3 linked regions of the Arabidopsis thaliana genome follow. The protein of the gene in region 2 interacts with the protein of the main gene of each other region in a pairwise test. Each region holds a gene or a part of one and is shown on either strand. Other genes may lie near its edges. The genes, in order: AT1G07400, AT1G07740 and AT3G53630.

Evidence for each region.
Region 1: the proteins of AT1G07740 (region 2) and AT1G07400 interact in a two-hybrid assay, tested with the Arabidopsis thaliana proteins (one large-scale study listed by BioGRID).
Region 3: the proteins of AT1G07740 (region 2) and AT3G53630 interact in a two-hybrid assay, tested with the Arabidopsis thaliana proteins (one large-scale study listed by BioGRID).

What each region holds. Positions count from the first base shown.
Region 1 is NC_003070.9:2,270,462-2,279,402, reverse strand, and holds AT1G07400 (HSP20-like chaperones superfamily protein), read right to left. Parts: upstream 4,478-8,941; 5' UTR 4,256-4,477; coding exon 3,782-4,255; 3' UTR 3,620-3,781; downstream 1-3,619. Other genes in the region: SMO2-1 (sterol 4-alpha-methyl-oxidase 2-1), read right to left, coding at 26-145, 286-431, 679-816, 1,464-1,493; RABA2b (RAB GTPase homolog A2B), read right to left, coding at 2,249-2,728, 2,969-3,133; RLP1 (receptor like protein 1), read right to left, coding at 4,749-6,952, 7,212-7,280, 7,369-7,381, 7,524-7,595, 7,667-7,728, 7,808-7,882, 7,987-8,061, 8,154-8,225 and 3 more. UniProt on the Arabidopsis thaliana protein: Cytosolic mediator for sorting and targeting of nascent chloroplast outer envelope membrane (OEM) proteins to the chloroplast. Functions as an AKR2A cofactor to facilitate the targeting of OEP7 to chloroplasts.
Region 2 is NC_003070.9:2,393,120-2,404,563, forward strand, and holds AT1G07740 (Tetratricopeptide repeat (TPR)-like superfamily protein), read right to left. Parts: upstream 7,390-11,444; 5' UTR 7,378-7,389; coding exon 5,998-7,377; 3' UTR 5,980-5,997; intron 5,578-5,979; coding exon of another isoform or gene 4,408-5,577; 3' UTR 4,323-4,407; downstream 1-4,322. Other genes in the region: EXO70H6 (exocyst subunit exo70 family protein H6), read right to left, coding at 2,130-3,977; AT1G07730 (Disease resistance-responsive (dirigent-like protein) family protein), read right to left, coding at 4,408-5,577; RAD51D (DNA repair RAD51-like protein), read right to left, coding at 7,678-7,734, 7,829-7,984, 8,069-8,139, 8,237-8,327, 8,425-8,517, 8,618-8,752, 8,962-9,159, 9,260-9,339 and 1 more; AT1G07747 (Bifunctional inhibitor/lipid-transfer protein/seed storage 2S albumin superfamily protein), read left to right, coding at 10,439-10,726; AT1G07750 (RmlC-like cupins superfamily protein), read right to left, coding at 11,181-11,334, 11,423-11,444.
Region 3 is NC_003074.8:19,878,029-19,888,491, reverse strand, and holds AT3G53630 (uncharacterized protein), read right to left. Parts: upstream 4,632-10,463; 5' UTR 4,507-4,631; coding exon 3,929-4,506; intron 3,403-3,928; coding exon 3,300-3,402; 3' UTR 2,931-3,299; coding exon of another isoform or gene 2,924-2,930; 3' UTR 2,554-2,923; downstream 1-2,553. Other genes in the region: AT3G53640 (Protein kinase superfamily protein), read left to right, coding at 1-1,485; PPa4 (pyrophosphorylase 4), read right to left, coding at 5,184-5,226, 5,354-5,435, 5,512-5,632, 5,715-5,780, 6,169-6,276, 6,361-6,426, 6,727-6,755, 6,866-7,001; AT3G53611 (uncharacterized protein), read right to left, coding at 9,798-9,950; RAB8 (RAB GTPase homolog 8), read left to right, coding at 10,228-10,300.

The sequences.
Region 1 (8,941 bases), 120 kb from region 2:
AAAAATGGTGAACATTGAAACTTACTCATGATGCACACTATGCACGTTCTTGTACAGCCATTTTGAATGCAAGATCCGATGACCCCAATAGAAGACAAAATCCTCAATGATAAAGTAGAATAATATCTGGGCAGACACTTCTTTCCTGCAGGACCATCACCAAAGAGGGTCTTATATACCTGATCAAACATGAGCTCAGGTTCTTTCATGATGCTCAACACTGACATCTTTTGATTATGTTTTTCTTTCTTTTTATTGCCAAATGGACGAGTTTAAGATCAATACCAGGACGGCAGAGGAAAACTGCTTCGCATTCCCATGGCTCGGAAGACAGGGTAGGAGGCCAACATCAGGGGCAAGTTTACGGAGAAATGATAAAGCAACAGGCGAGTAATACATTTTCCTTGGGCTGCAGGTGTGTTATTTTTTGTCTGCATAGGGACAAAAGAAAAGTATGTGTTGACCATAAAGGGTAAGAGAAGCATAGAAAAGGGTCATATTCACAATTATTAGTAATCGCTGAAATGGACATCAGCCTGTCATAAGAAAACACTTTTCACGTGAGACTGAATTCTTGGGGATCAACCTCTAGACTATCATATTCAAACCATCACACAAAGCTATGATTGCATACATAGAAGACACTTGTAAAAGATAAATAATAAGAAGAGAATAAACCTGAATTTTGTACTTGCTGAGAAAGCCTTGCCTTTCAAGAAAAATGAAAGGGAGTCCAGATAAGAAAAACACGCTTTCATGGAGGAGAAAACTCCCAATACATGCCAGTTGAAAGTCGCTAAAATGTGTCACAAGGTACTGCATCAACCACATAAAATGATCAGCTCCAGATACAAAATTTCCGTGCTGAATGAGAACTCATGATAGACAATACGCACAAAACACCAAGGAAAGGAAACAAATACTATCATTAAGTAAAAACTAGTTTCAGTGATCCAAGTTAAGGACACAAGACACCCAAAATGCACACTAAGTATAAGAAACAGACTCGAAAACAATACATAACAGTAATCAGAACGGCGTTTTATCGATTTTGGTAACCGATCATTGGAAAGTCCGTAAGCTAAACCGATTGAACAGAGAGCACAAAAAAGGGGCTCGATTATATGATTCATGCGTGTCTAGGCCCCGTATCAATATCTACACCCATTTAAGCTCCAGCAAACAGACGGAAACTGGAAATACGGTCAAAATTCCAACGTAACTAGTAGCATAGTCAAATTCAGATCTAAAACAGTACTGCAATGACACGAAACCAAATTGAATCCGATGGATCCAGACCGGTGGATTACTAAAAAAAAAAAAAACGCATGTATCACAATACAGTGAACTTAAGTCATCGAGACGGAGGAAATCGCCGGAAAACGAGGGAATCGGAAGCAGGATTAGATAGATGAGATTATGATGAAGAAAGAGAGAGAGAGAGAGAGAGAGAGAGAGAGTACCTGCCAACCAGATTCCACGAAGGAAGCCATGGATGGATCTATGAGAGACAGATGGGAAGAGATGTAGAAGAAGAAGAAGAAAGAGGTGGGAGAGGAGCCACGAGTGAAACAAACAACAGACTGTCACCAAAATGAAAATAGATATCTGGCAACTGAGATATTTTTTTATTTTTCTCACCAACTCTTTTTATTTTTATTTTTTTAAGACCACTCTCTCTATCAGAGTCAGGGCCTTTTCGGTGGAGTAAATGAATGCTATTGCTAACACATCCCCACGTGCACATCACCCTCTTCCACCTCCCTAGTGACCCTATTTTAGTATATTTCGCTTTGATTTTTGAAACCAGAAACAAGATTTGAAATTATGAAAAAAGTTAAAAGGATTACAACCCATTAAAGCCAAGAAGAGGTTGACCAACAATTTATAGACCACTTTGGCTGCTACTATTACAATGATCAAAGAGCATATAAACTGGCCAAACCAAAAACTAATCCTAAGGAAATCATTCACACTTATGTCTTCAAGAGATTTTAAATCAAGATACTAAAAAAATCTTTCTTTTTTCAGAAAATGGTGTGAATGATCACAGTTCAATACAACTAAGCAAAATCTTGTAACATAAATCCAATACGATATGGAAAAACAAAGACCCGGAAAGAAAAAGGTATACTATACTTGCTGAAATTAAACCAAAAAAGAAGAAACGAACTGGTAAGAGATCAGAAGAGAAAACTCAAAACGTGTGATTGATTGATTAGTAATCACTATAGTTGGATTGTTGTAATTAGGTAGAACAGCATCCTTTTCTGTTAGTTGCAGATGAATCTGATATATTGATCGCTGTTCCTTGGCCCGGAAGATTACCTGCAGCTTCTTGTGCCGCTAAAGCTTTCTTGCTTATGATATGATAAATCTCAGACAAAATGGTCTGAAACGCTTTCTCGATGTTAGTCGCTTCTAAAGCAGATGTCTCGAGAAACGACAAACCTTCCTTCTCGGCGAGAGAGCGACCATCTTCATCAGCAACAGATCTCAAGTGATTCAGGTCTGATTTGTTTCCAGCCATCATGATAACAATGTTGGAATCAGCATGATCCCTTAGCTCACGTAACCATCTCAAGACATTCTCAAAAGTTTGTCTCTTGGTTATGTCGTAGACAAGAAGAGCTCCAACAGCTCCTCTGTAGTAAGCACTTGTGATTGCTCGATAACGCTCTTGACCTGCAGTGTCCCAAATCTGAGCCTTCACTGTTTTGCCTTCAACCTAGTCAAGATTACACATACAAGCATGAACAAAGACGAGCCATTTCATTTGCTACAATTACATTAAAATAAACCCCTAACGAGAATTCATTTTCATAACATAAGATCTTCAGATCTAACAATCACATGCCTGTTCAAATATCAGAGGATGCAAATGCGACGACACAATCTAAGATTAAACACCAAATTGATCTGGAGGGAAATTGTCTAGATTTAGAGAAAGCGAGAGAAGAGAGATGACCTGTAAAGTCCGGGTGGCGAATTCGACGCCAATGGTGGATTTGGATTCGAGACAGAACTCGTTTCTGGTGAATCGAGAGAGAATGTTGGATTTACCAACACCGGAATCGCCGATCAGGACGATCTTGAACAAGTAATCGTACTCATGATCTATTCTATTCGCCATTGCTTCTCAAATCCTAGCGTCTGATCAACCTACGCATATACACATTCACGTCAACATCGATCGAAGAAACTACAACTAATCATCGTCAATGAGATCAAAAAGCAGCAAATCGAAACCCTAGAAAATCGAATTTTACCTTTTGAGCAAGCCGGAAGGATCGAGAATGGAACAAATGTTTTTTTTATATATTTTGTTTCTGTATTTCTCTGTTTCCTTTCCTTATACGTTGCGGGTTTTGTGCCCAAGAGGTGAAAACGGAAACTCCCTTTTATTTAGTTTCGAATTTTGAGATTCTTTTTTTTTTGTTTACCACGGAAGAAATAATTTCATTAAATTTCAACTTTTTGTTATAAGACTTTGTTACAAATCAGTCATACCAAAACTAAGATCAGATTATGCAAATTGCATATCTAAATTAAAAATTCAACCTTTAAACTTAAGTTTAGTTGGTCCCATCCGAGTTAAAATCGAATTTACGGCTAAAATCTTCAGAAAAAGCAATTGAAACGAGAATATAAAGGCCTTGCTTAATTATTAGGATTAACAGTTATAATACATCATTACCAAAACACAGAGCCATATTCAAATCAAGAGCCATAATCAGAAGAGTCTTTACGCATAAACATGAAACCCATAAGCTAATTGGCTTTAGCCAGAGATATCAATAGACTTAACTTGAGCCTTCTTCTTAGCCTCTTCCACTTTAGGCACCGTCACAGTCAGAACTCCGTTCTCCATGGAAGCCTTGACTTGATCCATCTTCACATTCTCCGGCAGCTTAAACTTCCTCGAGAATTGCCCGCTCGACCTCTCCACACGATGCCACGTGTCCTGCTTCTCCTCTTTCTCCACGTGTCTCTCTCCACTGATCTTGAGCACACTGTCGTCCTCTATCTCCACTTTAACCTCCTCTTTCTTCATCCCCGGCAGATCGGCCTTGAACACGTGCGCCTCCGCCGTCTCTTTCCAGTCCACACGTGCGTTCGTTATCGCCGATGTTTCTCCGGAGAGCGACGACGGGAATTGCAGTTCCTTGAATGGATCCCAAACGTCGAGTGAGAACGGGTCGAAGATGCTGTTGCTTCGCCTGTTGTTGCCGAAGAAGCTTGGAATAAGCGACATTCTCGATTTGATTTCGAAAGCGAAAGAGATGTTTGGAATGCTGAGATAGCTAATTACGATTTTCCGGCGAGTTCGATTTCTACTTCTGAGCAAAGCTGGTGACTCGGATGATGTATTTATAGTGGTGAACAAGAAATCTCCAGAGCTTCTAGAATTTACGGGTCCCAAACTTCTTTAAACTTCACACGAAAACGATGAAAAGATTGGAAAACAGAATCCAGAAAACTCTAGAGTCTACTAGTAGATGCCTTTCAATTTCAAGTACAGTACGACTCTATTCAGCCGTTATGCGTTTTATGGGCTATAATGGGCTCCTGAGGCCCAAATATTATGAGATAATGTTTAGAAATTGAAACTGGTATCATGTATATATTTGACATCGAAGACATATATTTTGTATACAAAAGCTTTTTCTCATCTAACTTGGATCAACTAAGAAAGCATTTTAAGACTGTGTTATTCCAGTGGTGTATACCTTGGCTAATCCACAGAATCAGTTGCAGACTGAGGAACGCTTGAACTGTAGAATATGATGAACGCATAGATCTACACGATAAAACCATTCTCGGGACCATCGTGAGTCTATGTAGAGGAAAGCAAACAATGCCAAGGATGTAGATATGTAGACTGCAGCACAAGTCCAGTAAAACCACACCATGTCTATCACATTACCTTCTTCTTCATTTTCTTCCTCTTTGGCATGCGTTGACACACTTGGTGGCTCAGGGACTCTCTGGGAGATGCAATTTTTATTTGTAGGAAGTCCACAGAGATGAGCGTTGCCTATGTAACTCCTCTCGTCAAAGGTAACAAGATGGCCTTTGAAAGGGATTTCACCTGATAAATTGTTATATGAGATATTCAAGTATCCTAAACTGTTGAGATCGGCTAGCGCAGGAGGGATACTTCCATCTAGCTTATTGTTGGATAGATCAAGACTCTCTAAGCCCTTCAGCTTTGAAATGCTATCTGGTATGGAGCCTGTGAGGCGGTTACTTGACAAATTCAGGGACCTGATATTCTGAAGATCTCCAATCTCGATTGGAATTTCACCCGATAGTTCGTTGCTCGACAAATCCAGACCATGCATATAGCGGAGAATATCACCTTGATACGCCTCATATCTGCTTTTCGTTAAAAAATCCACTACGGTTGCTGGTTTTGGTTGATAACCATTCCTGACACCATCATCCAAGTTAAGATGTGATCCATATTGACAATGTGGCAAGAATGTAATGTATGAGAAGTCAAAATCTGCAACAAGTGACATGGTACGGTCATTCTGCTCTGCACCAAAAGACATTTTACTGAAACATGATGGTATGGGGCCTCTGAATTGATTGTGAGACAAGTCTAACAGACCAACTTCACTTAGCTGACATATTTTCCCAGGGATATAAGTTTGAAAGCTGTTATTCCGTAGAAGAAGAATACGTAACTTAGATGTCTGGTCAATAGTGTTCAGTATCTTTCCAGAAAAATTGTTGTTCCGCAAATCAAGCACTTCTAATCCCGCAGCCTTGAATAAATTTCCCGGAACTAAACCCGTAAACTCATTGTTTTGTAGTCTTAGTTCTCTGAGAGATGGAAAATTCACATTCCTTGGTATCGAACCAGAGAAGCTATTGTGTGAGATGTCCATAACCTCAACCCAAGGACTCTGTCGTAGAAAAGGGAAAGGACCTTTTAGCTGATTACCACTCATGTATAGGTAGGAAAGCCTTGATATCCTACCAATCCAAAGTGGAAGCATGCCCGAAAACCTATTATCTGATATGTCTAAAAGAGTAAGATTCTTTGACTTCAATAAACCCTCTTCAAGACTCCCAGTAAAATTGTTGCCATCAAGAAAAAGCCCAACTAAACCAGTAAGATTTGCATGCTTCGAAAATATTTTCCCCTGTAATTGATTGTTGGAGAGCTTCAGAACCCTTAGCGAGTAGCAACCACTTAAAAACATAATAGGTAGCTGCCCATATAGACCATTAGAAGACATGTCCAAGACTTGTAGGCTTTTCATCTCCCCAATCGAAGATGGTATAGTTCCTTGAAAATGATTTGAAGAAAAGTTCATAAACCTCAGGTTTGGAAACACCATCCCTATGTCCTCTTGAATCGAATCATATATCATATTACTCGAGATATCGAGAACTTGCAAGCCATGAACAAGAATAGGTAGTTGAAGCTTTGTCAATGAGTTCCCACTTAGTAAAATAGTCTGCAGCCTTGTGTTATTCTTCACAAGCCAAGTCGGGAATGTTCCTGTCAACTTGTTATGAGAGAGATCAACGAAGCACAAGTCACGCTGATGCACGAGAAAGCCGAGCATTGTGCTGCCAAGACTGCAATTCGATAAATATAACATCTTCAATTGAAACAATGGAGCCCATGAACTCTCAGTCTGAACTTGGATCACACCAACTTTTGATGACAATTTGAATACTGTGAGTCTTGTTTGATTGACCAGTGAGTTGAACAAGAACGAACCGTCGAAGTTATTATCAAGCAGCGACAAGTACTCAAGCACTGATGGTAGACCAGACACAAAGGAAGACAGGTTTCCATTCAATTGGTTGTTCGATAGATCAAGAGTTCGAAGATGCGTTAAGTTACCCAAACAATAAGGTAGACTTGTTAAAGCATTGCTGCTCAAATCCAGCTCCCTGAGTTTCATTAGTCTGCAAATCCCTAAATAGCCTGAAATTAATCAAATAAGAGTGTAAGAAATCAGAATAATCATCAACTTCATCTTTAAAAGAGAGTAATAACAAGATATTCACCAACTCCATCATCATATGAACTAATTAGACTTCATAGCCATGTAACTCATTAAGTTCTTCTGTTCTCACAATCTATCTATGTATAAATTCAGTTAGGAGGGTGACCAAAGTGTGACTCTTCTGTTTAGACCAAAAAATGCATAAGATAAGAAAGATAAAATTATTGTAATATTCACCTTCGTGGGTCAAAGACAATTGATTTCTTTTGAAATCCAATACTTGTAAAGATGTAGGAATCTCTAAACCTGCAGTTGAAAGAACATAAGGATACATAAATAGATAAAGATTTGCATGCTCCACTTCTAATAAGCATGTAAGTGACTGTTAAGCAACCCAGGAAACCGTTCTATATTCACCAACCCAAATGTAACACACCAATGAGACATTGATTCAACGAAATTATTCTCAATTATTGACCACAAAAACCTACACCAAACCAAACAATATCCAGAATTATTTTATCATAATCTGATTCTAGTCTCTTTAACCCCTCCCACAGTAACTGACTTGTGGTGTGTTATGCTCATCTGGAAACTTAGACGCAATCCTATCCAGAGGGTCTACAATAGCTATAGAAGATACCCAGGAAAACTAGGCTTCATAGTTGCTTGCTGAACTTTTAATTTCTGACCTCGACTTTCTGAACAACTTCTCTAAAATCAAATCTCTTCTCACTTCTACTCTCATCAACGTCTATGAAAAAAAGTTAAAGTAGATAGATTAAACCAGTTAGGATAGAGCAAGCAAGTTTTACTTTCTATATATGTCTTACCTCGGCCATGATCTAAATTTGTGAACCCATTGTCACTGAGATCCAGTTCTTGCAACATTTTAAGATCTTTCAGTACTGCCAGGCAAAATAAACATTCTTAGGAGAAAAACCCAGAATACATTTGATTGCCTTCTTTAAGCCATAAGTCACTTCTGCAAGAACAGTTTTATAACACTTACCATGAGTAGATAGCGTGTGGTTGAATTTATTTCCTCGTAATTTCAAGACTTGTAACTCTTGGAGGCTTTCTAAACCTGAAGATCCGGGAAAACACAAGTTATAATTGGAAAGTTGACAGAAATGGATAAAGATCATGTATGTAAATCCCCTGGTACTCTCTGTCTACCTTTAAGTTGAGAAAAATCTGACAACGGATTGAAATTAAGATCTAGTGTTTTCAGTTTCGCCGTACTTAAACCTGCACCACCAAGAAACACATTCATAAGTGATGTTATAAGTCAGCAGAGGTAAGCACTTCCATAAAACAAAGCAAAAAAAGGCAGCCACTCACTATGACTAGCCTCAGAGTCATTGACACCATTGAAACTGAGATCCAGTACTTCCAAATCTCTGAAATCTGTTAAACCTGCATCTCAATGTCACACTTAGTCAGTCATCTGACATCAATTCTTTAGTTCTCTCTTTTCTTTTGGAACAACAAAACTATATAAAGGTTTGTTGACATATTTTACCTTGAGAAGATAAGAAGCTGAAACTGTTGTCCTTCAAGTTTAACACTCTCAAGTTTGTCATGTTTGAAAGTTCTGCCACACCAGAACAAGAAGCCGTCAAAATCCATCTCCAATTGAATTATATACAAAAATGTCAAAAAGAGAACCAAACATATAGAAGAAATACATAACCTTGAGGAGGAAAGACACCTTCCATGTAATTAGACTCAAGATGTAGACTCCTAATCGATGTCGCAGCATTTAAAAACGGGACGATACTGTTGTCGAACATATTATGGGAGAAATCTAAGGTAGTGAGCTTATCTAGTGTCCCAAAGCTCTTAAAACCTGAAAACAAAAATGCAAGGGAAAAAAAAAAACTAAAATTCTCTTTCAAACAAACTGTCGAACACTTTATGTGCACTATGTAATATACCAAATTACAGAATCAAACTCACGCGCC
Region 2 (11,444 bases):
GTGTGTTAGTAGTAGTACACTGCTAAGACTTGGCTTGTGTCTATTTATTAAGTTTAATACACGCGGAAATCTTTGGTACGTTCTGACTTTTCTGTGACATTAATTATTATTCAAGACATTTCTAACTAAAATTAATTTTCATCTTCAGTTATTAAAAGATCATCCGTAAAAAAAAACAACATATTTTTAGTTTATGTAATATCCAAATTAATTGATTTGTACAAACTCTTCATGATGTCGTCAAATAGAATCCATAAGCTAGAAGAACACATGATTGTATCGATTGACGTTTGTTGGACCAAATTAAGTTTTAAAGTTTAGATATATTGGGTATCAAAATTAATTAATATGTTTTATTATATGCTATATAGAAAATTTGAGGTTGTAGGTGAAAGAGCAATAAAGAGATTTGGTGAGAAAGTGAGCTAGTATGAAGAAGCAATATACAGGTTTATGAAATAATGAACTTTTTTGGATATAAGTGAGAGTGTTGTGATGAAAGCTCTCATCTCAACCTCCACCAACTTAATTACGTATCTCTCTTTTACTACAAAGCCATCAACGTAACGCTTACTCACACTATCCGCGTGCGACTACGTCCTTTACTTTTTTCTCTTATTTAATTGATCGATTCAAATTCATAACCATCTCTTTTAATTCTACAAAGACTATGATTTTTTATACATCATTTAAATTTATTTGGACGCATTATATGTTGTCAATGACGATCACGCGTTTACTGCGTGTCAATTTGCTTTATAAAAATGGTCGAGAAGATTGGAAACACTTTGTGAAAGCATTAAGAGTTGTTGTTTTGAGGTTAGTTCTAATAATGGAGGAGTTAATGTTTTTTTCTTTCTAAGTTGATAATTACAGGAGTTAATGTTTGCCGGTGTTTTTAGTTAGCTGGTCATTTCATTTTATAAGTTTGACTTTTCTTAAGATTATCCAAATAAACCAAAATTTTCGATTCGATTGGTAGCAAATGGAGAGATGACACTGGTTCACAATCATTTACGTGTGAATGCATTATTAATCAAATGTCTCTTTCATTGTGGCTTAGTGATTAAGTGTCCTTGTATATTGTTTGTTTTCTTTATAATGATAAACGGCATTCAAGTTACGTGTCCGTGTGTTAAAAACATTTCTTTCAAACCCTAGATCGTTGGCCAAATGTATATTGGTTAATTTGTTGCAAGACAGAGAGATATGTGATGGTAATATTTTTTATGCAGGCAAAATATGGACAAAAAGAAGTAGTATGTTGAGATGTTAACCTTTTTTTTCAATAGAATTTGAAGTTAACATTGCATGTTGCCACTGAAAAATTTAAGGAAATGGCAGATACATCGTGGGAAAACTGGTATACGTCTCCTACGTTTGCATACAGAATACTAAAATAAATCCATCATCATTAAAGACTTGCTCATCTAACTACTTAACTTCCAACCACAATTCTTTTTATTTTCCTGCGACGAATCATGGCCTTTTTTAGCAACGAGCCATATTATTTTGTCGGTCATCTATCATATGATTTATCTATTTAATTTTACAAAAAAGTCAATGGAGTACTTTTTTTCTTTCATTTTTGTAAAAATATGTTTGTTTCAACAAATATATACTCAATTCAAATCCGCCTGCATGCATAGGCCATAGCTAACCATAATAACATTATCAAAGTAACGAAAAATATAAAACAAGTCATTTGCTTTACTATTGTGCATGACTGTTTCTCCATTCGATTGCCAAACAAAATTTAAAACTATTAGTCACAAAAACGCATAAATCCGAACCAAACTGAATCCTAAAATAAACTAAAAACTACAAGGAAACTAAACCCTACACGTTATGGGTTTGCGAAGAAAAGGTTAAACAAAAAGATTTATAAAGAAGAATGTGATTTAGGCGTGAGTGTGAACAACACACGTACAAGAAGATCAGATCAATAGAGAACAAAAGCAAGCACAAGTACACACTGATTCTGAATATGGCAAATGAAATGTAGACTTTTATATCTATGGTCTATAATTTGAAGCCCAAAATTGATATATGGGCTTTTAGCCTAGGACCGGCCTATGATTCGTTGATTTCACAGAGTTACACGTATGAGGGCTTTTTACATGGAGCTATTACTTCAAATCCGTCGTATGGCTTGGGCTAACCATATACTTCTTAGTTTTGGATACGGGCACGGATCTTCCTAAACCAACATATAGGTCGGTTATGTAATTATTTAGATCTTCAGGGGTAAATCTGACAATATTGCATGACCCGACCGGGTGTTTCTTATAGAAACCCGTATACCCGGGCATTAGTTTTCTCGCTATGGACGCTTGGATCTCGTCTCTCAGGTTCGGGTCGGGTACGACCCATGTCTTGTGCTTCTTGTAAGCCTCTTCGAACGCCTCGTTGAACCGTCTCAGAGACTCCTCCGCCTCCGTCCCCGCCGTTGAATCACCGGGGAGCGACGCTATCACATCCCCCCAGGCCATTTTTTCGTATTTCTCGAGGTATTGATTCACTTTAACCTCGTGATTCGCTACCCAATCGTCTCCGAGTACGAGTCTGAGATTCGATGTACGGACCTTGGTCACAACGTAATGGAGGTTGTTCGCTAGGAAGAGATACGATAGAGCCGAGTCGTTGTAGAGCCGAGATTTGGCGTCGATTTTACAGAGCAAGACGAGAATCAACCACGCGAGTCTCGCCGCCATCGGAGAACGATCACCGGATCCTGGATTCTCTTCGCCGCTGCTACTGAAGTAATCCTCCGGTAAAGGTAACGATGACTCCTTGAGAATGGTGGCGAGAGAATCGCTGTAGTCTGCGAGGAAGACGATGAAGTTCATCACATACCTCGTGAGCTGATGAACTCCGCCGCCAGAAATCGCCGATTTCGACGATTCCTTCGTAATCGACGATTGAAACTCCGTCATCATTGCATTCACCGATTCCGATAGCTTCTCTAGAGATTCATTCGCCTGTAATCTAACGGCAGCGGTTGAATCGTAGCTAAAAATCTGATCGATTTTGGGAGTCAGTTGCAAGATCGTCTGGTAAACGTCAAGCGTAGGGAAGATCTTCTCTGCAGTTTTTCTGGATTTCGCTACGGTTAGTGAGAAGATGAAGAGGTTTAACGCGCTCTGTAGCGTTATGTCAACGAAGCAAGATTCAGCGACGGAGGAGGAGAAAATGTGATCGGAAAGGATTCGTTCTCCGTTGAACAGAGTGGTGATTGCTACTCTCGCAACAATCACCCATATTTTGATCTTCTTCTCCAGAATCTCCCATTCCAGTTTCTGCATCTGTGTAGAGGTTAGCTTCTCGAACCCTAGATGAGACAATGTGTCGACGATGATCTTTTTGCGAAACTTCTTGTAGATTTTAACACAATCCTTCTCGTAACCAGAGGAGATCATGCAATTTGCTATCATCTTCAAATCAACAATAGCATCAGAATTCCCTCCTCCTCCTATGTCTTTACCTAATTCCGATGAGGATTCAGAGTAAAGCTCTCCATCTGATGAAGAATCCGAAGCGGTTCCACTTGATCTCGAAGGTATGTTGGATTCAGAAGACCAACCAGAGACGGATTCTGGACTCAGAAAGCGGCGATTCGATTTCAAAACCCGGTAAAACTCCTTCTCCAAATGCTTCATAGCTTTCCGCATCAAATCCTGTCCTTTAGCAAGCTTAGCGGAGTCCGGATTCATAGCAACGGTGCTCTGAATGGCGTATTGTAACTTGCCGAGAACCTCGAGGAAGCGTCTGCCTTCTAGGCGGTTTTGAGCGGAGAAGAGGGAAGAGAGGCTGCATGAAGAAGAAGAAGAGTCGCAGAGGTGTGGAGTAACCCATTGGCATATGAAGGCGTCAGCTGCCTCCACACTATCGCCGATTAGAGACTCGGAGAAGCCCTGTTGCTGTTGCGGCCCGACCTTAGAGGATTTTGATAAGGTGGTGGGTTTCAAGAGCACCATTGTTTCTTGGGTTTGAAGAAATGGGTCTTAAGGTGTTGGGGTATTTATTTACCATCTTCGGTTTCTTGTTTCGGCGACTGTTTTTTTTTGTTGGAGCCGTTCCAAGTTCGTCAAAATGTACACGCTGGTCATCCGTTTATGTCTCTCATTTTGTTTTCTAAGTCTTTGATTTTGGGACAACAAATTGTTTGTGTTAAATTTAGACTGAAATTTACAGGTTGTATGGATAAAACACATGCATGTATACATCATTGTCTTTCTTAATTTAGAGGTATAGTTTGTTAAATGATCAGTCACAGTGGTAACTAACTTTTTTCTCTGTTTTTGTTCTTAAGAGTAAAAGTTGGAATAACAAGGGATTGGTTGTCAAATTAATAGGTTTTCACGTTTTCTTGGTAGACAAAAAAGATAAGAGAAGAGGGAAAAGAAACTAGTAAGAAAGATAAACGGTGCACTCCAGAACAGTCTCGAGCCCATCTGTGAACTGGTGCGGCTGCTGCTGCTGGGTCCCGGAGGAACCCGTAAAAGTCTTGACAATTGCGAAGCCTCTCGCATTCACATACTTACCAGTACCGCCCATTACCCCAAGATGAGATTCCGATGCAGCTGTTCTATGCACACCGAAGAAACTGATGCTATCTTCATATCCACCGCTCTCAAACATAGCCGTGAAAGCCATAGTCTGGCTGGTCCCATCAAGGGCACTTGCCACGTAGAAGCCTTGGGCTTTACCCAGCAGACCAGACCCGAGTTCGTGTCCTTCGGTTAGTTCGTTGTCCATCACCGTCAATGTCCCAAACATGAGCATCTGAAGAGACGAACCCGATGGGAGCTGGCCGCCGTTAGCCACGGGAAGACCGTTCAACATGTTGTTTCCATTGTTCTGTAGAATGTTGGAAGTGGTTCCGCCAAGCCCGACGAGAAGTGGGACGTTGTTATTGTTCAGGATTCCATTGTTGTTATTGTCTGATGGAACGCCGTTACTAACAGGGAGGTTTGCACCATTGGGCTTAGCGAATGGAATTTGGCCACTGAGGGCTGCGTTTGCGACGACTCCAGTCACAGCCCTCGCTGTCGGGTTTGAGCCACCGAGTATATCGTGCATGAAGAAAACCAAAGTGTTGTCAGGAACTGAACCACCAATCACTGACCCTGCACCTGCGCCCAGACCCGTAGCTGCAGCACCTGAACCAACAGTAGGCAAAGGCCCTGAACCTGAACCAGGCAAGTTACCCGAACTAGCACCCGGTAAGAGACCAGAACTGGTTGGTAGAGGACCGGGGCCAGTAACAGGCAAGGTACCCGAACTAGCAACTGGTAAAAGACTAGAACCAGTGGTCGATAGAGGCCCGGGGCCAGTATTGGTACCCAAGGAACCTAAACCCCCTGAGGCTGAACCTGTACCTGAAGCGATACCAGTTGCAGGGCCTGAATTAGCAGTGGGAAAGGGGCCTAAACCAACTGTTGGTAAAGGACCAGGACTCGTGGTAGGCAAAGGGACCAACCCAATATCTTCTTCTTCATCAAGAAGCCGAGCAGCTGAGACAAAAGTAATGGCGAGAGCTAAAATCAGGAAGAAGAGTACTTTGCAGCCTGCCATTGACAAGTAGAAAGATCAGAGACTAAGATTGTTAATTTGAATTGGAGTTGAATTGTTTCTAATTCTCGTGTGTTTATATACGTTGATTCTAGAGGAGCATTTATATATAAAATGAGCTATATTGGTGATATAAGAAGATGTAGTTGATGAAACAGAGTAGGTGACATACTGACAACTTTTCCATTATATGGGTGGTTCGGTTTAGAGAAGAAACATAGAGAAAAGAAAGAAGAAAAAAAAAGCCAGAACACTTCAGCTATAACTTCACCACAAGATCTTGAATGTATCAATTTAGAAGTTCCATTGTGTGAAACTGTGAATTAACCAAAGATTAAGAAGAAAATAAATTCGTCCACCCTGTTAATTTTAACAGACATGAATAAACAAGGATGAGAATCTTACCTTTAAAAAGGTCATTGCTTAGATGGAAATTACTTCTGACAAAGCCTCACAATATACTCCTCCATCCTTGATGCAGAGATCAGAAAGTAGATTTTGCCAAGCACCAGACCCAAAACTTAAGTTTTTCTTTCCCATCACCTCTAACACAAAGCAAGCATGGTCCAAGTTACCGCCTTTAATCAGCCCAGCAACCATACATACAAACGTTGCAGGTGTGGGACAGTGTCTGCTTGCAAGCATTGCATTCAAAACATTCAACCCTGAATCAAAATCCTCGATACGACAAAACCCATCAATCATCATACGGTATGTAGCTGCATTTGGTTTACACCCTTTCATCTGCATTTCCGTCAGCACTCTATAAGCCTCAGGGACTCTACACTCAGTGCAAAGATGGTTTACCAGAATGTTATAGATCACAACATCTGGTTTTATCCGTCTTTTCTTCATCTCGCCGAGTAGAAGCTTTGCCTCATCAATTCTCCCTCTCTTCCCAAGATCACTCATCAAAATTCCGTAGTTAACGAGACCCGGTTTACACCCACGATACTCCATATCGAACATCAACTTCTTTGCTTCATTGTACTCTCCCTTACAACATAAACCTTTCATTAACAACCCAAATGTCACAGCATTCGGACGTATTCTTTTCTTAATCATATCTTCAAGCAAGCTCTTCGCCTTACCCATATCGTCATTTCGGCATAAGAAACCAATCAGGCTATTGTATGTCACAACACTCGGTTGCACCTCCATCTCAAGCATTTCGTCGAACACCTTACATGCAGCTTCCCAATCGCATTTATCAAGAAATCCTTTGATCAAAATATTGAAAGACACCGAATTGGGACGCAAACGCATATCCTTTGCCCCGTCGAAAAAGCTTTTGGCCTTTTCCAACTCGCCGTTATCGACCAGAACGTTGATGAGAGTGTTGAGAGACTGAATCGTGCGAACACAATCAAAGGAGGTGATTTTGTGGAAAACATCGATGGCTTTGTCGACCGAACCGGCTTTCCCGTAATGCTGAATCAATCCCATGAAGAGGGATTCTCTGCACCGGACGTTTCGATAGCGAACAAGGCGGAGAATTTGGTCGACGGCGTCGAAGTTACGGGACTTTGCAAGCTTGTAGATGAGAGAAGAGTAAGATGGGTAGTCGTGTCGGAAACCCATTTCCTGGTATTGGTGGAAGAGAGAAAGAGCTTCCTCTGGGTCTTCGATTTCTTTGAGATCGGTGAGAAATGGCACTTCCTCCCATGGCTTCCTGGTGAATTTGTGAGTTGGTTCATGGCTGCTGGCTTTCTTTGTGGGTTTCTCAGGTCGAGATGTGTGGTAATGGCGTTGGGACGCGATGCACTGATTGTTGATTAGCACGGAAGATAGTCTTCTACGCATCGGATTCTCTTCGTCTTCTTCCTTTGCTCTGTTTCAGCTTAAATATGCAAACTCGGAATAAACTAGAAAGCTTTATTTTTATTTTATTTTTTGGTGTGCGCGCAAAGTTTTAAAATGTGATTCTATATTCATGTGATCCTTATATACACACCACTCATTTGTTCAACAAATTTTAATTTTCATTGCTGCAGTATAATTCTACATGTAAAACCGAAACAAGAAATCCATCTGATCATTCATTTATGTGGTTCTCTTCTTGCACATCCAAACGATGGGCGTGGAATATATAGCCAAGGAGGCTTATGGACATTGTTGATTCTCCTTGCGAGTCAAGGTCTTCGCAGCTTGGCCTGAAGGCTACAAAGAAAATAATCACACACAGAAACTGTAAAACCAAAGGAAATGACGTTGGACTAAGAGATACAGAAATTTTGTTTGGTTAGCAACGTACCAAGGATGTGTGTTTTAAGATGGAGATGGTGCAGTTGCTGTTCTTATGGTCACGTGATAGCGAAAGTCTCACGTGTGGGATGCTTTTCCATGTTTCCCCAAGAGCTGGTTTGGTTTTACCACCTTCTCCTCCAGCACCCACCGTGTGATTTGTCACCTTCAATACACAAGGAGACACAAAAAAAAGGTTTTGACTTTAAAGCACAAGGACACGCTTAATGGCCTGAAACTTCTTTAATACCAGTATAGCGATGCTATGTTCATGAGCCAGCTTCTTAAGCAAATATCCAATTGCCACCATCAAAGCGCGTCCTGCACACACCAATTTCTGAGTCATTCTTCATAATCACCCGCACAACTGTTAACCATTGAGGTGAAGAAAAAGTGATAGACATACAAGGGTATGTACCCTGTGAGCCACTGCCTCCAAGGATTGGAGTAATCAGAGAAGAGATTGAATCAACAACTAACAATCGTAGTCGGGACTCATTCACATTCATCTGCAAGTGAAAAGAAATAGATAACTCATGGTTAACACTAAGAATATAGACATTAAAGTGACATTGAGGAGATTGCATCTTTTAGCTAGCTTAATACCTGCAACCTCAAAGTAATCTCTAGATCTTGCAGCGTATCAAACAGTGTATATATGTCATAGACCGTGTGGCATAATATTCTGCTCATGACTTTCTGCACTTATACGTTTCTTGTCCATAAGATTAAAAACATAAATAATTGGTGATTGACTAAAGAACTGGGTCATAGGCTAGGGTACAAGAAATAAATAAACCTGCCCTAAAGTAGCATCTGAACTGGAGCAGATAAATTGAGCAATGCGTCGGGCAGAAAAAGAGTTCCCTGTGTCTAAATACAAGACTCTGCCAAGATGATTCTCTGCTACACTTGCAGCAGCTTGCATGCAAAACTAGTCATTCATAAGAAATCACACAATGTAAAGAGAGAGCACAAAAAAAGGGTAAGCAAAGACAACACTTTTTTTCTAGGAACAGTCTCTTTGTTTGAATGAAACAATCTACAATTCCTAAAGATTTAAAACGATTATCTATGAATAATTTTCACACAGAAGACAAGACAAAAACATGAATAGTGAAATGCCTAACAGAAAATACATACTTGTGTTTTCCCAGAAGAGGAAGGTCCGACAAGTTCTGTAAGCTGACCCTCACGGAATCCACCTTGAAGCAATGAGTCCGTCTCTTTGTCTCCAGTCGACAGAGTATGTTTATTACGGTGTAGATCCTCCAACAGTTTTAAACCATTCACCAATGGCCGACACTGACGTTCTATCAAAGAGAGGATGAGAGTGATACCCTGAAGCATCCGAAGGAAAACATATGTCACATACCTTTGAGCGCACACACACAATTAAACCTCAAAAATCGACAGTAACGTTAAGTAAAAAGCTAAAAACCTCTTTCAATCTATCTGCATTTGTCTGCCGTTGAGAAAATGCAGTAAGTTCGTAGAGATCATGCAGAAGGAAATCCTCAACTGCAATTTTGAGAAAAGCCATCAACACAAACATTCCAAACCGAATCCGACTCTATAACTACAAAAATCTAATTCGTCGAACACCTTTAGCTTAAACGATCAAATATCAAACAGCGCACTATCCAGATTCCAGAATTCAAAACTTTTTAAAGTGAACTTACAGTAATTGGACTAAGCAATTGTGTTTCTCATGTTCATATGCCAACCACAGTCGTTTTTTTGCAGGCAAACAGGAGAAATCAAATAGAATCGATACGAGAAAACGAGATACAAGAAGAGAAGATGTAGAACACAACTTGTTAAAATTCCATGAGAGGCGCAGAAATCTTGGAAACATGCGTCGATGATTGGATTTTCCTTCTCCAGATGTTTGAGAGGCGCCATTGTTGTTACACCTCCACTGCCCTCAAATTGGAATGTGGAGAAGGAAGAACAAATCCAATTAGCCTCCGGTTCGTTTTCACGACCCAGACTCTTAATCCCGGTTTACCCCAATCTGAAAACCGCAAATAGGGCCAGCCTTGTTTTAGCCCGAAAATCTCTCATTCAATTTTATCAGGCCCAGAGCTTATATTTTTCAACGGATCCGGACCGGCCCTAAACTTTTAGCCCATTTTAACATCCTTGGTCACCTCAATTTTAAACCGATACTCAGTTAACCTAAACCAAATAAATTTATAAATTTCCAGATCTCTTATTTTTTTTTTCCTATTTAATTACTTTCCAAAGAAATTTTATTTATATTAAATCTTTGAAGATTTTCATTGATTGAAATCATTTGTTAATATCAAACTTCTATATGTATTTTCGAACATTTCCAAACTGTATATACACATGTGAACTGATTGATTCATTTCCTATAATTAAATCTTTCCAGTTTCTATAAAAGGCAGTGCTTTCAAATTTGTTAGCTTAATTCCAGTAATCAACAATTAAAGACAGTCGACACTATATATATACCTAAAACACACACATCAGCCTATACTGCAAAACATTACTCCATTCTTAAACAAATCTCGTAATCGATTATTTCAAGCATTTTCTAAGCAAGACTAGAAATTAGATAGAAGGAGAAACTTAAGGTTACAACTTACAAGACATGAAGATGAAGTTCACTACATTAGTTTTCGTTGCGTTTGTTCTCTCGTCAATGGCTCCGACCAAAGCAGAGGAGAAAGCGGCATGCGTCGTGACAGATCTCAAAGCATGCCTACCAGATATAATAGGCGAAACCCCACCATCGACAAAATGTTGCACAAAATTGAAAGATAAAAAGTCGTGTTTTTGTGAGTACTTGAAAAACCCATTGATTGCTCCATATATGACATCTGCTAAACAAGTTTTAGAAGCGTGTGGTGTACCTGTTCCTGTTTGTCAAAGGTTTTAATAGTAGTTATCAAACCATTCTTACTTTTCATGTCATCAAAATCACATGTTGTAATGTTTTATCAGTCATCGTTACATGAACTTACTTTTCAATATAGTGTTCGTTTGATTGGAATTTTTGTTTACAGTAATTGGAATTTCTTTTTGAACCATCAAAATTCTGAAGTTTAATATGAAAGTGAGAATTTGAAGGAAGACAAATTTCTTTTGATTCAATTTTTCCAAAAGTTGAAAAGAAGGAAGACTGTAAAATATAGGAAAGGTTGATTTTTTAATATTTTAAAACAACGAGAACAAGAACCGGTCCAGGGGGAAAAGGCAGGAAGAGAATTAAACAACTAGACTAAGAAACTTCCTTGAATCACAAGAAAAGTAAAAACCCTCAAAAATCTCTGAGGGAAAGCAACAAACGATAAAAGATAAAAGCTGGTTCTTGTTCTCATTCTTCTCCTTCTTCAGTTGGAAGGAGGGAAGAAAATGGCTGATGAAGTCCTCGTGGATCGGAAGGACTTCTCCACCTCCGGAGCCACCTTAAACGCTGCCTGCAAAACCTCAGGGGACAAAGACTTCCACACCGATGTATTCCCGGCCAAATGTGTGAAGATCGGACTACAAACACACAAGAAAAAAGTTTCAAACATATTAGTTTCTTTCAATTTCAAACCTCAAAAAGGAAAGTGCAGAGAAAAGTTCTTACTCAGGAGTGGTGACAATGGAGA
Region 3 (10,463 bases), on a different chromosome or scaffold from region 2:
GATGACTTAGATTCTTTAAAAAGCCATAAACCTAACGGTGAAACTCAGGGCAACGTTGAAAGGTCTGAAGTTGATAATGATGATGACGGTGAAGATGTTGTTTGGGGAGTTGAAGAACAAGAAGCTGCAGAGATGAAAAGAATCGAGGAAAGCAAGAGGATTACGCAAGCCATATTGGAGAAATATAAGAAAAAGTTGGAGCAGTCCTCTACTGTGGCAGATGTTCAAGCTAAAGCTGGGTTGGATACTGAGGCCGTAGATGGTGAAGTCGCCAAGCTATCTTCAGCAGTTGGGGAAACACCTGCACGGCTTGTGATATCAGACTCAGATATGACACTAGCTTCCGCAGGCAGCCCAAAGAGTGACATGTTCAGTGATGATATCTTTGGGGAGTCTCCTCTAGCTGATGGTACTCGGAAAGGGAATGCACTTGTTCCTTTTGTAAGGAGTGGACTCAATGATAATTGGGATGATGCAGAAGGTTATTACAGTTATCAGCTTGGTGAACTACTTGATGATAGATATGAAATCATGGCTACTCATGGGAAAGGTGTATTCTCTACCGTGGTGCGTGCAAAAGACACAAAACCTGAGCTAGGTGAACCTGAGGAAGTGGCTATAAAAATTATTCGGAAAAATGAGACAATGCATAAGGCTGGCCAGGCTGAGATTCGGATATTGAAGAAGCTAGTTTGCTCTGACCCAGAGAATAAGCACCACTGCGTCCGTCTTCTTTCAACTTTTGAATATAGGAACCACCTTTGCTTGGTGTTTGAGTCTCTTCATCTGAATCTCCGTGAAGTTGTGAAGAAGATTGGTGTCAACATTGGTCTAAAACTATATGATGTTAGAGTGTATGCTGAGCAGTTATTCATATCCCTTAAACATCTCAAGAACTGTGGGGTTCTTCACTGCGATATAAAGCCTGATAACATACTAATGAATGAGGGAAGAAACATGTTAAAGCTTTGTGATTTTGGTAGTGCAATGTTTGCTGGTGAAAACCAAGTTACACCATATCTTGTTAGTCGTTTCTACAGAGCTCCAGAAATCATTCTTGGACTACCCTACGACCATCCGTTAGATATTTGGTCAGTTGGTTGTTGTCTGTATGAGCTTTATAGCGGGAAAATTATGTTCCCTGGCTCCACAAACAATGATATGTTACGCCTGCATATGGAACTGAAAGGTCCCTTCCCTAAAAAGATGCTTCGCAAAGGAGCATTTATCGATCAACACTTTGATAAGGACTTATGCTTCTATGCTACAGAGGAGGATAGTGTTACTGGAAAGACAATAAGGAGAATAATGGTCAACGTAAAGCCAAAAGATTTAGGTTCAGTAATTAGACGACGTTATGAGGATGAAGATCCCAAGGTGTTGGTTCATTTCAGGAATCTTTTGGACAAAATTTTCACACTTGATCCTCAAAAGAGACTTACAGTGTCACAGGCATTAGCTCACCCATTCATCACGGGCAAGTGAACCTCATAATGTTGTTGCCCTTGCTTGGATACATGTACATTCTATATATTACACAATTAATTTTTTGATTAAGATTCTAAAGAGTGTTATAATGACGATGTTGTTCTTAGAATCATGATTCAGTTTCGACAGTTGAAAAAAAATGTGACGATTTAATTTAAGCTAAGGGTGTGTGGATCAAAATTGCATACTTTTTTGAATTTAGTGGTTAAGAAAATCAATGCTTGATAGGACTGTTTTTTTTTGTCTACATCATTGTTTCATTGCACAACCGAATATACTTTATGTCTGCAAACATTGTTTTGCTTTCAACATCTATTTTCTGAAGACATCGCTTTTCAATCTTTGTATTTCTCTAATATCTTATTTCTTTTTTCATTTTATTTCTACACTTGACATTTCTTTTTAACAAAAAAAAATATATATGAGAATATTTCGTGAATGACTATGATTCTGAATGGTGAAAACTCACGGCAACAAATGAAGAGTAAGAGTTAAAGAAGAGGAAATTGTTATTTAAGCGAATTTTTGTAGAACTTTTGCATATCAAAACGATTTTTAAAGAATTTTAGAAAGTGGTACGTATTAGAAGTGTTCACACACATATATTTATAACATTAAGCATTATATTATTAAAAAGTTATAATTAAGCATATAAATTTAATACATAGATTATAAATAGAGTAAATTTGGAAAAATACCTTTTTCTTCATTTTTACGTTTAAATATGTAAAATCAAACTTAATAAGATTAATAATATCTACGTTACAAATATCAAATCAATTTATTTGTAATAATTAAAGATTTAATTTTTACAAAGTCTTAATATAACTAAAAATTCCAAAAAATTATTATCTTAAATATTATTTTAAAACAATAATGAATAACAACATTCTACCATGGGTATTGGGTACGTGTGCAACACATGTGCTTCCCAGTTCTTACCGTACATTTAGTTTGGTAGTTTGTACGACTTTCCTCATTATATTACACAACGTGATTTTAAATCCGATATAATACATACTATTCACCAATAAAAAAAAAAGGTGAAATCTTCATTGGAAGTACTCGAGATTTGAAAACGATTCAATTAAATTTCGTTATCGAAAGCAGAATTGTAAAATGAGCAAAACATATGATTCTGATTTAAGAACACAAAATAAACAAACATGGGGAAACTTGAAAGCTTCCGAGTTCGATGACCATGCATTGTAATCTTTTCTCTCTTCATTAACATGTATTGTAAATTTGGTTCAGAAACAACTTCAGATGAATTTCTTAAAGAAAACAGATTCACCCATGGATTTCCCGGTTTAAATAAAACGGAATAGAACCCGTAGACCCACCAGCACCTTATGTTTTGTTGTCGCGAGTTGTTCACACATCTGAAATCTTCCCGAACAATGTGACCTCTCCCTACCAAGACGCTCTTAGGAACTTAGACCCTGCCAGTTCACGATGAACCACGTAAGTTCAGTGATCGATTCTAAACATTTTGAGTATGTAACCGCAAGATAATCAAGTTAAAGTTGGAATCTAAAGTGAAACAAGAGAATAATCTAATAGATACTTGGAAGAGGATGGATATCCGAACAGAATATGAAAAGGCAAGAGTAAGATCAAGCATTACTAATACTATTGAGTAGATTATCACACCACAAGCTTAAAATTCATCGTCTTAGAACTCTCATTAAGTAATGTAAATGGATATCGGAAGATCTAGATGTGGTCATCATATGAACATTTAAACAACATTCTATATCAATATTTGTGGACACCGTAAAAATGAATATTCTTGGCATGAAAATCCCTGACTAATATAGTGAACTGTATATGAAAGCAATTGATTTGGAGATCGACGAAGTCTCACTAGTCACATTGTGAACTAAATCGAGTGTCCAAAACAGCATTGAAGGCCTAGAGCAAGGTAAAAAAGTTAACAAAAAGCATTGTAAGAACATGCAGTTTTATCATACATATATGGGAAACAACTATCTAATATGAATTGAGGAGAATTAATCGATCGTATTTAACGACCATGTGTTATTTCGAGACAGAAATGCAATGACCACAATCCACAACCACACATTGGCCTAACCTGTAACTTCATTCAGGAAACAGCAAGTGCTGAATTCACTACTGGCAATGATCAAAAACTATCATTTTCCAAACTCTTTTCATCAACTTATTGTCTTGCAACGAAAAAGAAACTGTAAAAGCAAACTAAAGGCTTCACCATGAGCGAATCAAATTTCAAAACAGAATTCGCTAACAGCAAAAATCATCCAAAACATATGAGCCATTGTTATATTTCTCACTGAATACATACTCTAATACATGACCTAAAACTTTGATTAGCCAACCCTAGATCAATGAACAACTAAATCATCCCGAAAGCAACACAGAATGATAGAAAGTTTAAAAGGAGTTGTAAGAAACAAACCTTGAGGAACCGATGTTGATGTTGTTCCTATGAAGAATCCTACCAGGAGCAGCGTCACCACCATCGATCAACTCTCTAAGCCCCAAATTCTCCACCTCCTCTTCTTTCATCTCCTTCTTCTTCTCCTTCTCCACACGGCGGTTATTAGGAAGCTTCACAGGCAACCTCTCGAAGTAATTCCCGTAGATATACTCAGGCGTGTACCCATTCTCTTCATCAAACAACATGATATGACCATGCCACTCCCAAACACGATAATCCGATTCCTCATCCTCATGAAACCCAACGCAGATGTGGTGTTCGTTGACTGTCACGGCTTGACCTGAATTCGGCTTGAGAGAATCGCTTCGACCAGAGACGATGACTCGGATTAGCTCTTTCTCAAGCCTAGCTTCTTCTCTGTCGAGACTGGTCTGACCTTCTCCGTCATCATCGCCGTCGCTGTCGTCGGATTTGAAGAGGAGGTCGTCTAGGGATTGAGAGAGGAAATGAGAGTTAGGGGGACGAATTTGGAGACGTCCAAGTAGGGTTTGGATTAGGAGGTTGTCGATGTTGCTGTTTCCATTGAAGGAGCTCATCGTTGATCACAAATCGAATCGATCTTCTTCTTCCTCCTCCGATTTTCGTCCTTCTTCTACCCTAAGAGGAGAAGAAGATGCTCTCTCGGGTTTTAGGGATAGGAAAGGGTTTTTGGTTTTGCGATGACGGTTCATTGAGGTAAACGTGGTAAATTTCAGAAAAGGTAAGGGCTAAAATGGTAATATTCATTTAGATAGCATCTGATCACAGATTTGTAAATTGAACTATGGAATTTAGTTGGTTTTAACAAAATTTAAGCAACTTGGGATGGAATCTGAAAGAAAAAAAAAGAGTATACTAAAAGAGAGAAAATTAACACGTATAACATATTGTGAATAAATGACATACTATAAGGTTTTAGGGAGGAATCTTCATCTATTCTTTGATGTATAAAAGATCTAATAGAAGAATAAAACTCAAAAACAAATTGATTAAGATGAGAAATGACACCAAAATTTAAAAAGTGATGACCACAAATGAGAAAAATCCCTGTTTTAGTCTTTGATTATCGGTTTCATACGACAAAAAAAAAAAAGAATTATCGGCATCATCTACCGGATTCATCAGAGGACATACACAACAAATATATCCTTTGAGAAGCCTGACATTTATATGTATATTTATATTTGTGAATAATGCAGTTGTGAGCTTTCATTCCATTGCTTGAGGTGGTGATTCAACGTCTTAGGTTCTCCACGACGTAGTCTGCATAGAGATCCCTACATGACACAAAAGAGTTGTCCCAATTTGATTAGTTAGTTATTCTTTGATATAAACAAATTGCGGCTATTTACAAGGTCATAATATATGAAGTAAATAACAGTAAGTTTCATGAAGGCTACTTACATGGAATGCTGAACTGCGTCGTAGGCTGCAGTTGCCGGAAGGAAGTCGTTAACGGCTACTTCCTTGTTCTCGTTTTTCTTATCTGCAACAAGATTACAAGAGTATGAGCCTCATATCATCCTTAACCAACCAAAAGTTTGTAAGAAAAGAACACTCACAGTCTTCAAAGAAACGGCGGATCTCAGCCATACGATGAGGCGGAAGCTCACTGATGTCGTTGTAATGGCGATACTCTGGATCGTCAGCGCAGACAGCAATGATCTTGTCGTCTTTCTCACCCTATTCAAGCAGAAAGAGCTTCTAGTTTCAATCTCTGTTACTTTTATAAGTACTAATATGACAAGTACGTTGAATATCTAACCTGATCAATCATTGGCATCAGACCAATAGCTTTGGCCCGAAGAAAGCATCCTGGGATCACCGGTTCCTGTAGAAAATATTCAACAAGATTCACATGAGATGTGTTTTCTACCAGTCAAATAAGACAGACTGAGATGCTGATGATGCTTATAGACTTGATTGATTAATAAGAGGTTTTAAATTCCAGAGTAAACACTAGAAAATCCACACTCTAAACAATATGCTGAGACACCTTTATAAGCCTAGCAGCCACTAACTGCTCGATAACTGACTGGCAACATTTCTCATCTGCTACATTCATTCCTAAGCTACACAGTTATAAAGTAGAGTCTATAGCTAAGAGTTGAGCGCTTGAACTTCTTCAAAGCTTATCAGATGCACAAATCAAAATAGAACAAGAAACATTATGTAATGAATTATGCAGGTTCTCAAAATTGTATGAAAAAATATGTTACCTGCATAATGACAAGAACATCAATAGGGTCACTGTCCTCACAAAGGGTACGCGGAATGAACCCATAGTTGTGTGGGTATACGACAGATGAGTAAAGAATACGGTCGACCTGAGAATATGTGTAAAGTTTAGACAATCGTACCTCTAATAATGAAAGGGACAGCGAAGAAAGTTAATGCAATCAAATTTATACCTTAATGAGACCCGTAGTTTTGTCGAGTTCATATTTCACCTTGCTCCCTTTTCCTATCTCAACCACCTGTAATAATGCCTCCGTATGCTTGGTTAATGATTCCCACAACAATATCTCAAAGATTAAACCCATAAAATGGTTTCCTAATCAGGCGATGAACATCATTTCATATGCTACAGCAGACTCAATTCAGGTTTCAAGATATATAGCCAATGAATGTTTTAATTTTCTTTGAGTGAATGCTACAAATATGTAAATTCTGTAGAAATAGTAAACAACTGCAGCATCTCCGAATACGCATAATGGCAGTTTTGTGACAATATAATTAAATATTTTCAATCCTTAGAGCTTTAGCAAAACACTTACACAATTGAAGATAATTGGGGCTTCAGGTCCTGTAAACAAAGGAATGCGAAGCAAAAAAGGTATAAGAGTTATTACTAAAAAACAATGAAATGATCTTAGAGCCAAAAAAAAGAAAAAGAAACCTTTACGTATAGCTTACCTATCTCGAGATCATGCCATGGGTGTGCAGCTACTGATCTGTGACTCATGGACGAAAGTATCCTCTCATTAAGAGTAGGAAGTGAAACATGTTTCTCAACGTAGCTTTTGGTAGAAACCTCAATCGGTGGCGCCATTGCTGCAAAACAATGCACATAACAATTCATAAACAGAACAACAACCATAATATATGCATCTCTGAAAAGCAACAAACACAAAATATGGGCTCAAACTTTACAAATGTTTTAGTTCCCCTAGATCATGGAAGATAAAACCATATTTTCATGAATTATACTAAAGATCTCTGTGCATAAAATAAGTTAAATATATAAATAACAATCTTCAACACCTGGGGAAATCAATTGAATACACACAACGCAATGGTGGACACAGAGACACAAGATACAAAATCTAATAAAGAGAAAGTTACAGAAACGTCCAAGAAACGCATAATTTTTGCAGCAGTTCACGAATCCATAAATGTCTCCACCGACAAAACCGTTCCCACATGTGTATAAAGCGAGCAAAAGATCAAAATTTTATTTATACAAAAAAACAGGGCACTCTCTTGAAATCATCTTCAGATAAAAAGCAATGGGCCTTAAGAGAAACGAGCAAAGATTTTCTCTTTAATGGAGTTTGATAATCTAAAAATGTAGATATACATCACAAAGATTGAATATTTTGGAACCCAACTCAGATCTACAAGTCACAAAGATCTCTCGGGGGAACAAAAAAACTCGTTCATGGCTTATGCAAACAGATTAAAGACACCCAATCCCAAAACCCTAGAAACCTTCCGAGGAAGAACAAATCCGATTGAAAGAACATTTCGAAATCCGTACCTGAACAAATCGACAAATCTGAAATCTCCCGAGATAAAGTGTCGTCGAATGAAGAAGAAACGCAAGCACAGATCTCAAGAAGGATAACCCAAAGGAGAGAGAGAGAGAAGCAAGTGTAGAGAGAAAAGCTAAAGGAGAAGAAAGCTGTGACTAAACGCGTTCCCGCTCTATGTCTCTGCTTCTGTGCTATTTGAAGACTCCATTTTTTAGTTTAGAAAGAATATTAATATTTTTCTGGAAGGAAAACAATAAATTAAATTCTCTTTAATTTTGGAATATGTCCGGACCCGAAAGTGTCAATGTGGCAAGATTTTATTGGATGATGGAAAAAGAGACATAGACGGAATTCCTAACGGCGGTGGGGTCAACGTAAGGTTTGGCTGTCTGATACACGTTAAAGTGACTCGGATTGCGAGGAGTCCACGTTAAGTCTCCGTTAGCTACTGTTAATTTGGGGAATATGCTGGAGAGAGTTGAGATCAGGTGTTGGCGAGTGCACCGAAAATTCGTGTTCAGATTTATGACATCGCAATTTCTCTGTCGGTGGATTACAAACTGCAATCAAAAGAAAAGCATATGTTAATCTGTCAAGTGAATATTCGTTTTTATTTTCTTTCTATACATAATGTATATGGATAATTCAAACAAAAAGATGTGTAAAATGATAAATATGGGTGTTTATCGTATTTTATATAGTATTAGGATTCATGCAAAAATGCATGGATTGTCTATGATAGTAATTTTGGTAACTATTATTTTTTTATTTTTTTTATTTTTTTTTTCAGCTGGTAACTATTAAATTAGTAGAATTTAAAATAATTTATACTTTTAGGATTCCTATGATAGTATAGGATTTCTATACTATTTTGATATTAGGAGTTTAAAATAAATTACTAACTTATTATTATTTTAAATTATTAGATTTATACTTTTAAAAGTATTAGATATTATATGGATTTTTGTTGTTTACAGCTCTTTTTTTTTTTGGTATTTGAACTCGTATTATAATCGGTTACTGGCATTGATTGATACAAGTCACCAATTACCATCACCGTAAGCACCGTTTTATGATTAATTTTTATGATAAATATACACGTGCATTTCAAATAATTACCATTTTCATATCGGAAGGTTTTGGATAATCTTTCTGACTTTTTGTATGGTAAGAGTTTAATGAGATTGGGATAAAATTGGATAAACATGAATCTCATTGTAAATTGGAGTTAAAAGCATTAATAAGACGATCACATTAACGTAATAATTGCAGTCTACATTCAAAACAAATCTGAGAATGTATGCTTTAACTTTTTCCTTTAATGTCAATGGAATCACTCTTCGTATCCATTTAGAAAAGGAAACTAGATCGTATAATTTAGGAAAGGCTTACGTCGTGTCGTGTCATTCCCTAATTTTTTTGGATAATAGTTAGATATCGGAAATAATTGGATAAATTTGGATTAACATAGAACTAAATAGTGTAAGAGTAAAAAAAAAACATTAAATAAGACAGTATAGGGGCTTAAACTTTTTTGTTACCTCAAGGACGATATTTTAAGTAAAGTTAGCTTTCCTTTAATGTCAATGGAAACACTCTTCGTATCCATTTAGAAAAGGAAATGGATCGTGTAATTTTAGGAAAGGCTTTCGTCGTGGCATTACCTCATTGGTCGTGAAGAAGTGAAGATGTGGACTTGTCCGCAGCGGATGATCGGTGGATGGGGTTGAGTAAACGAATGCTCATGCAGTACATTAGATGCTACGTAGGATCATTGTAGATTCCTATCCACGCTTTATTCTTTGGATGATTATTTGCTTAACACCGACGACAATATATTCAAATTTCCTCAATTTGTCAATCGCTCTCTTTTTGCCTAACTCTTATTATTATTATTATTATTTTGCCTAACCTTTGCGTCCCCTTGGAGTTAAATAATTGAGTTTATTTACAAGTGAAGGGATTGAAACAACTTTTTTTTTCCCAGAGCTTAATCGCAACGCAACTCAGAACGAAATATAGAAAAATACATATACTGTATGAATATACTTCATCAATTCTGTAACCTGTTGGGTTGGATCAGTAAGAATAAACTAAACATTTAGTGGACACCAAATCATAAATTTAGCACACAAAAATAAAACTAGCCCAAGGCCCATGGTTCGAAATTTATCAAACCGTAACCGAAGACCACGCGCCGGACCAACACAGATCTCCACGAACAAGATCCAACGGTCCAGATCCATTCCCTCTCCTTCTCCCTCTTCTCTCTAACCAAAAAAAAAAAAAAAACTTCTGAATCTCCGAAAAAAGCCAATCGGGGGAAGAAAAAAATTCAACGGCCGTCTGGTTACTGTCTTGCTTGCTTCCGACGATCTATCTTCCCCGAGTAGATTTGGTACTTCCTTCTTTCGATTTTTAGGTTCTACACAATTGATTCTCGATTTAAATTTTGTCTCCAGTTTTTGCTCTCTTTGCTTACCAGTGATCCGTTTCTCGGAAATTACTTGATTTTGTTAAGAAATGGCTGCTCCTCCTGCTAGAGCTCGTGCTGATTACGATTACCTCATTAAACTTCTGCTGATCGGAGACAGCGGTAGGTTTCTATATCATTCAGATCGTAATACTACCTTTTGTTCCCTGCATTTTATTCAATCTCTATCTTTTTGTTGATTGATTCTCTCGATTTTTGTTGTTGTTGATTACAATTTAAGTTTTGTTTGAAGGATCTTGAGACAACAGTGATTTGAGTAACACAT